Linked DNA regions of Lonchura striata. The protein of the gene in region 1 binds, or shares a complex with, the protein of each later gene. Links are inferred from orthologs where the notes say so. Each region holds a gene or a part of one and is shown on either strand. Other genes may lie near its edges.

The links. Proteins that work in one complex are often made in the same cells at the same time.
Region 2: PLRG1 (region 1) and RBM48 share a complex: the UniProt entries of both Homo sapiens proteins name them as parts of the minor spliceosome. The link is inferred for Lonchura striata from reciprocal best matches to the Homo sapiens genes PLRG1 and RBM48.

The regions. Positions count from the first base shown.
Region 1 is NC_134606.1:42,273,071-42,276,817, forward strand, and holds the start of PLRG1 (pleiotropic regulator 1), read left to right. Parts: upstream 1-1,298; 5' UTR 1,299-1,356; coding exon 1,357-1,365; intron 1,366-3,031; coding exon 3,032-3,138; intron 3,139-3,362; coding exon 3,363-3,505; intron 3,506-3,747. UniProt on the Homo sapiens protein: Involved in pre-mRNA splicing as component of the spliceosome. Component of the PRP19-CDC5L complex that forms an integral part of the spliceosome and is required for activating pre-mRNA splicing.
Region 2 is NC_134603.1:133,592,778-133,596,524, reverse strand, and holds the start of RBM48 (RNA-binding protein 48), read left to right. Parts: upstream 1-857; 5' UTR 858-1,645; coding exon 1,646-2,046; intron 2,047-2,159; coding exon 2,160-2,305; intron 2,306-3,747. UniProt on the Homo sapiens protein: As a component of the minor spliceosome, involved in the splicing of U12-type introns in pre-mRNAs.

The DNA.
Region 1 (3,747 bases):
AAATTACTAAATACAAAGCACCAGCGCAGCCACCAGAAGTGACCCACCAACTGCAGAAAAGACACGATATTTATGTCAAGTAGGCAAGCTGTGTGCCAGAAATGCCAAGCTAACGCTGTCCTGTAGAAGACAGCAGTTTTGAACCAGCTATGTTGCACTGAATTACTTCTAGCTCAGATGGTTTTGCAAACTGTTCACAGCTCAGGCATGCAGGCAAGCAGACAGAGCGAGTGGCTGGTTTGGTGGTAAAGAAGAGCATCATGACGGAGTGGCTGCAAAAGATGAGCTTGCCAAATCCCAGCTACTGCTCAGGAGGACAAGACTTCTTAAAATTAAGAACAGGTGAGTATATGTGGAGAAAGTAGGTGCCTATTTGAAATTTGCACAAATGCATTTAGTTATTCTGCTCACAAATGGAAGTGAAATACCTGGTGGACTAACAGGGTACGTTTGTAATAGAATTATAGCCTCTGCCCTTTCACAGCCAACACTTTGACATGAAGTACAGGGGTCGCCAGCTTGTTCACACCCTTTGCTCTTCATCAAAATGAGGTCCTGTGGAGCCAAACTAAAGACACCCTTCCCAAAAGATCAGCTATAATGGCTAACATCCAATATCGCCGCAGTTCAACACCGTATGGCTTTACCCTTGAGAACTCACGAGGAAAGCAACACATGAACCCTGTAGCCCCACGGCCCTAAACACTTGCAAAGTGCGATAGTTTCAGGCCCAAGGAAGCGGGACTGCCCAGCCCAGGCTCGATCCCGCATCCTGCGGGGCAGCGCTCGGGCCGGGCCGCTCCCGCCTCTCCGCAGCGCCACACCGCCCTCTGCCGGCCGCCGGCCGCACTGCGCCGCGCCCGCCGCCGGGGACAGCGCGCCCCGGGATGGCCGCGGATGGCTCCGGCCGGAGGGACCGCAGTGAGTGCGGTCATCGGATCCCGCCGGGCCATCCCGGAGCATGCGGCACAGGGCTGCGATTATCTCCAGTGATGGAGACTCCGCCACTTCTCTGTGCCGCTTTCCCCATGCTCAGGTGGAACTTCCTGTGCATGAGGTTCTGCCCACTGCCTCTTGTCCTGTTGCTTGGCACCACCGACAGAGCCTGGTTTCATTCTCCTGTCACCACCCCTCTCTATATTTGTACACATTGCTGAAGTGACTCGCACCGGCTGCTCCGGTAGCGCCAGCGGGGCTCGAACCCTGAACCACCGCACAGCGAGTGGAGGGGTTGCCATAAGCCCCGCCCCGCCGCTTCGGCGCCTCCGCCCGGGCTCAGGCGTCACTTCCGGCCCGGCGCGGGAAGGCGCCGGAAGTGGCTCCAGAGCGGCCGCGGCGGGGGAGCCCGGCGGCGCCATGGCGGAGGTGAGGCACGGGGAGCGGCCCCGCGCCTTCGCTCTGTCGCGGCCTGCAGACGCTCCGGGCGAGACCAGGGAGCGGGAGCGGGTTGGGGCCGGGCGGGAGAAGCGCCGCCCTGCACCCTCGCAGTCCCCGGGTGGGAAAGGGCTGTAGGGATGGTCCGTGGCGGCCCCTCCATCTGCGCGGCCCCGCCCGCTGCGGCCCGGGGACAGCGAGGTGCGGGTCGGAGTGTGCGTGTGTGGCCGGGAGTGAGCAGCGGCTTTGCTTTGCCAGACTTGTGCCGAATGCCGGCGCTGGGGCCCATCGGGCCGCCAGCTCGTCACCAGAGGGGATTGTCCCGCTCTGCTCTGGGGCGGTCTCACCTCGAGTGCTGGGGTTTGTTTTGGGTACCACAACATCGGGAAAAGGTATAAAGCATATGGAGATGAATAGTCAGAATGAATGGTCGGAGTGAGGAATGGATGAAGTCGTTTGCCATATTCAGCCTGGAGGAGAGGGTGAAGGGAAACTTCATTTCAGTTTACAGCTTCCTCTCGAGGGGAAAGCAGAGGAGCAGGCTCCGATCTGATCGTGGATCCGATCTGTGGTGGTCCAAGAGAATGGCCTGAAGCTGTGTCAGGGGAGGTTTAGGTTGGATATCAGGCAAAGGTCAGGGTGGAGGGGTGCTTGAACAGGCTCCCAGGGAAGTGATCACAGCAGCAAGGCTGACAGAGTTCAATGAGCATTTGAACAATGCTCTTGGGCACAGAGGATGTGCCTCTTGGGGTGTCCTATGCAGGGCCAGGAGCTGGACTCCGTGATCCCTGTAAGCCACTTCCAGCTCAGTACATTCTGTTCTGTGATTGTGGGGAAGTGATGCTGTGATGTTTAACCACCAGAAACCTACTGCTGACTCTGTCAGCCAGCTTCTTTTGTGAGGCCTTGCGAGCACACCTGTGGAGGAGGCCACTGGTTTTACAGGTGGTAGAATCTTTACTGTGGAGTGAATATCATGCACTTCTGAAGGCATGTGGGGCTGTCAGAGTTGTAGAAGAAGGTGCAACAACTGCTGCCTGATGCAACACTATGAGCTATTTTTTTTCAAAAAGCATCCATCAAAAATTACTTGCAGCAAGTTTCTTCCCTGTTGGGGAGACATGGTGGTACCTACTCCTCTGTTTGTCAACAGCTGCTGTTTTTGGGTGGTGATTAGCCATGTTAACATGAAGTGGTACTGTACATAGAAATTAATGACTGCTCATGTTCTTTTCACAGTGGTAGTGAAGGAAAATGTACAGGTGGTTTTTGTTTGTTTGTTTGTTTTTCTGAATTGGCTTCTATATTGCTTACATATGAAAACAGAACTGGGAAGGACGTGGGATAAAAGCTTTTATATTCATGGATTTGTCATGTAAATGCCAGTGCAGAAAGTTGGATTAAAGTTTTTGGCTTGCTTTTCAAATTCTTGTAAGTTTTCAAGGAATAGAATACAGTTTTGAATAAACACTGAAGTAAAACAACTGACATAATAACTTAACTTTTTAGTTTCCAAGAATATTAGTGTCTTCTGTGAACCAAATGGTTGCATGTCATAGAACTGAGAAATTGCTACTCAGTTCAATTTATGTTTCAGTTTTCAGTTTTTGATGTAGATCTGTTCAAACTTATTTAAATACTCTTTTCTTTATTTTAGGAAGTGCAAAAGCATTCTGTGCACACACTTGTGTTCAGGTCTTTGAAGAGAACCCATGACATGTTTGTAGCTGATAATGCCAAACCTATCCCATTGGATGAAGAAAGGTAAGTGCTGCTGCACTCAGTGAAGTTTTAAACTCTGTCAGTGATTGCTCCACCCAAGTCAGAAATTCAGATATTTCTGTACTGGCAACAGTGTAGTTTTGAGGGGAGAGAAATATTAGGGTTGTAAAGTTAAGTTTTATGACATCCTCTCTAAGATATTTCAAAACCTGGTAGCGGTTCAGAAAGTGGGGTTCAGTGAGGATTTTGCTTTTCTCTTGCCACAGTCACAAGGTGAAGATGGCTGTCAAGCTGCGCACGGAGTACGGCTCAGTGCTGCACATGCCCACGCTCAAAGAGAACCTGAGGGAGAAAGGAGGCGCCAACACGGGGGATCCCTATGGACACAAACAGTATTCTGGAAATCAAGGTTAGTTGGCCCCTAGTGCTATATTTGTTCTTTCTTTTGTAACAGTCTCAGTGATGTAAAATCTTCAGAATGCAGTCTAGCGTTAATCCACTGGAGATAAATGCAGAAATCAAAAAAAACCCTTTTTTGATTGGTATTTTTTTGCTAGGGTCCACAGGTGGTAAGTGATTCAGAAATCACTTTGCTTTTAACAAAGGAGTTATTGGGTGCTGTGGATTTTTATAGTGATGAATTAGTAAAAA
Region 2 (3,747 bases), on another chromosome or scaffold:
GGGCCCGGGCGCTCCGTGCCGGCACCACGCGCAGCTGGGAGCGTGCGCGTCGCGCGCCAAGTACCGCGAGGGGTGGCGGCCGCGCGCCGTGAAGGTGCCGGGCGGGCGTGAGCGGGCGGAGCCGCCTCCGTGAGGGGCTGGGGGCGGCCGGGGCTGCGCTGGAGTCCCGCGGCTCCCGGGAGGGAGAGAGGGAGGCCCTGGGCCTGGCCTGCTGCGCGGCCGGGGCTTCTCGTTACTGCGGCAGAGCTGAGAGCTTTGGTATCTCTGTGTGCGCTCTGTGTACAGTGAGCCGTAGCGGCACCTTGGAGGCTGGCGCGAGAAAGGAAGCGCTAAGGTTGGAGAAGGCCTTTAAGATCATGAAGTCCAACCGCTTCTGTTTCCAGCCTCTCGTCAGGAGTTGTAGAGAGCGATGATGACTCCCCGAACCACCTTTTTTCCAACCTGAGCCCCCCAGCTCGCTGAGCTGCTCCTCATCAGACCTGTGACCCTTCTCTGGACATGCTCTGGCACCTCAGTGTCTTGGAGAGAGGCCCCGAGCTGAACCCAGGATTCGAGGCGCAATCTCACCAGTGCTGGAATAAGGGTTACTGCGTGCCCACAAACATAGGGACATCTTTTTCGCCAGTGCCACCTTCCTGTAAAATTTCAAACCCTCCATAGTTCATGAAGTCTCAAAGCTGTTACGTTCTTTTATTCTTCCAAGTGTACATGGGGAGGCAGAGGACAGAGAGCCTTGTGCATCCACAGAGCTCTGGCCAGCACAGGCATCCAGCCATCACTGGGCATTGGAGGAGACACACAGGAGAAACAGTATGGATGTCCCAAGTGTGGAAAAAACCTTATTAGAATCTTTTCTTCCTGGACAAGAAAGAGGTAGAAGGACAAACCTTCCCAAAAAAACCAGTCACATAGTGAAAGCCTGAAATTCCTTCAATCCCTTGTTCCCAAAAGAATGTAGGTGGGAGTGTGCAGCTGCCACAAGAAAACTTACATGACCTGCCTGCAGAAACTTTTATAGTGGAAGTTTGAGAGTTGATTTCCCAAGCAGTTCTCACTTTGTCCAGAATATGGGGTTTTTTTAAGAAATATGTGTAACTTATGCAGTCTAAATATTTGTGGTTTGGGGTTTTTTTTAACAAACTCAGAATAAATTTCCTTTAATCTCAGGGATAACCTGCCTAGCTGTCTGTTGTACATAGTGAGCCATCAACAAGCTTTGCTTAGAGTCTGTTATGTGACAGTCACAAAGCAAATAAGAATGGTTGGTTTCATTTTTAACTTGCTGAGAGAAGACCTTCTTTTTCTCAGCATACAGATTTTATCTGTGTGTCTTAAAAATGTACACTGTTGGATCACCATGGGAAGTAGACAGCTCTGCACACACAGGATTTACCCCAGGGAATTGTGGTAATTATTTTTTTACTCCCTGTGTGGAAAAAAGCAGTTTTCCTCACTTGCACAACTTCTTTGGCTATGAAGACCAATTTTTCAGTGTTTTTTTTCTGTATTTTGACAGCATGTCCTATAAACTGGTCACTAGTATGTCTTGCATGGAAGATGGCCAGAGATGTAAGAGATTTTACTTGGGAACTGGCAGTAGTACTCTGACTTTGTGTAGAAAAGTCAAGTCTATTTGTGTTTTACTATGCATGAGAGGCATGAGTTCATCTCTTGCTCAGTGATGAAGAGGTCCCAAATGACCATGCACTTACTGCCCTGCAAAACAGTACATGTGGGTTTTCAGCATCCTGAGAGGATTTGGAGAAAAACAGAGAACATGGAGAAAATGCATGCCTTTTGCAATAAAGCAAGAATGGGAATGTTTTTTCATAGTCTTTGTTTTTGTTTTTTTCAGGTTTACACTATCAACTTGGAATCTCGCTACTTACTGATACAAGGAGTTCCTGCATTAGGTGTTATGAAGGAGTTAGTTGAACAATTTGCATTATATGGTGCCATTGAGGAATATCATGCTTTAGATGAATATCCAGCAGAGCAGTTTACTGAAGTGTACCTTATAAAATTCAAAAAACTGCAATGTGCAAGGTATTGGACAGGGCAATATCTGCCTCTTGCTGTCTTAATCTTTTACACCTTCTGTACTTGCAATGTGTTAAGTAAAATCCTCAGTTTTGTTGATAGACTTTAATTCCCTTCAGGGTGGCCAAGAAAAAAATGGATGAACGAAGTTTCTTTGGTAGTTTGCTGCACGTGTGCTATGCTCCAGAATTTGAAACAGTCCAAGAAACTAGAGAGAAGTTGCAGGATAGAAGAAAGTATATAGCAAAAGCAACAAATCAAAGAGGTTAGTGATTAAATTTTCTATAGAATCCTGACTAAATTTCCTATAAAATTTTAATGTTCTTCAGGACTGGGTGGGGTTTTGGCTAAAGTGCCTGTTAAAGAAAACTTTTTACCTACCTCTTAAAGATGCTATAGTGTGTGGATGGTGGCCAGATGCCAGGTGTCCACCAAAGCTGCTCACTCACTGCCGTCCACAAACCGGACAGAGGAGAGAAAATTTAACAAACAGTTCATGGGTTGAGATAAGGAGCAGGAGGAAGATCACTTATCAAATACCATCAAGGCAAAACAGGCTCTACTTGGAGACATAATGTGAAATTATTTCTAACAAACTCAAAGCAGGATGAGAATTAAATAAGCCCTTATAACCACCTTCCTCCCTTCTCAGGTCTATCCCCTGCCCAGCAGTGCAAGGGCACAGGGAATGGGGGTAATGGTCAGCTCATCACCCATGGCTTCTCCCGCTGCTCAGGGAGAGGAGTCGCTCCCCTGCTGCCCCCGGGGAGGCTCGGGAGGCGGTTCCCTGTGAACTCTCCAGCGTGAGCGCATCTCGGAGCGGCAGCTCCCTGTGAGCTGCTGCCACGGGTCCCTCCACGGGCACAGCCTCCCCAGCCCGCTCAGGGTGGGTCACTGCTCCGGGGTGCATCCTCCAGGGCCAGGCTGCTCCCGCCCGCAGCCGGGCCCCTCTCCACGGGTCTCCCCCGGGATCGCAGCCTCCTCCCAGGCATGCCCGTGCTCCGGCCCGGGGCTCCTCCCCGGGCTGTGGCGGATCCCGCATCCCCACGGCCCCCACGGGCTGCGGGGCACAGCGGCCTCCCCATGGCGGCCCCGCGGCCTGAGGGAATCTCGGCTCCAGCGCCCGGAGCCCCTCCTGCCCCTCCTGCCCCGACCTCGCCGTCTGCAGGGCTGCTTCTCGCACGGGCTCGCTCTGCTCTTCTCTGGCCGCAGCTACAACTGCACAAACACTTCTTGTTTATTTTCCTGCTTAAATCTGTTACCACAGAGGTGCTACCGCCATTTCTAATCGGCCTGGCCTTGCCCAGTGGCACATCCATCTTTGGAGCCACCAGGAATTGGCTCTGCTGGACATGGTGAAAGAATCTGGCAGCTTCTCACAAAAGTCAACCCTGTAGCCCGCTCGCTACAAAAAAAGGGGTCATGCAAACCCAATACAGAAGCATTTTAAGTATGTTTACAGGGAGACATCTCGCAATATGTAGAGAACTATATCCTTTTCAAAGTATTTTTTTGGCTTTGATTAAGACGAAAATAATGAAATTATTAAGCTTTAATAATTAAGTATTTCCTTCATTTTTTGTTTTCTTTCAAAGTGCTACCAGAAATTTAAAGCGCTGGCAGGAAATTTGGGATCACACTTTTACCTTTGTTCCAGCCTCCTCAGGCATGCCAAAGGGAGAGTTTTGGAATGAATATGACTATACC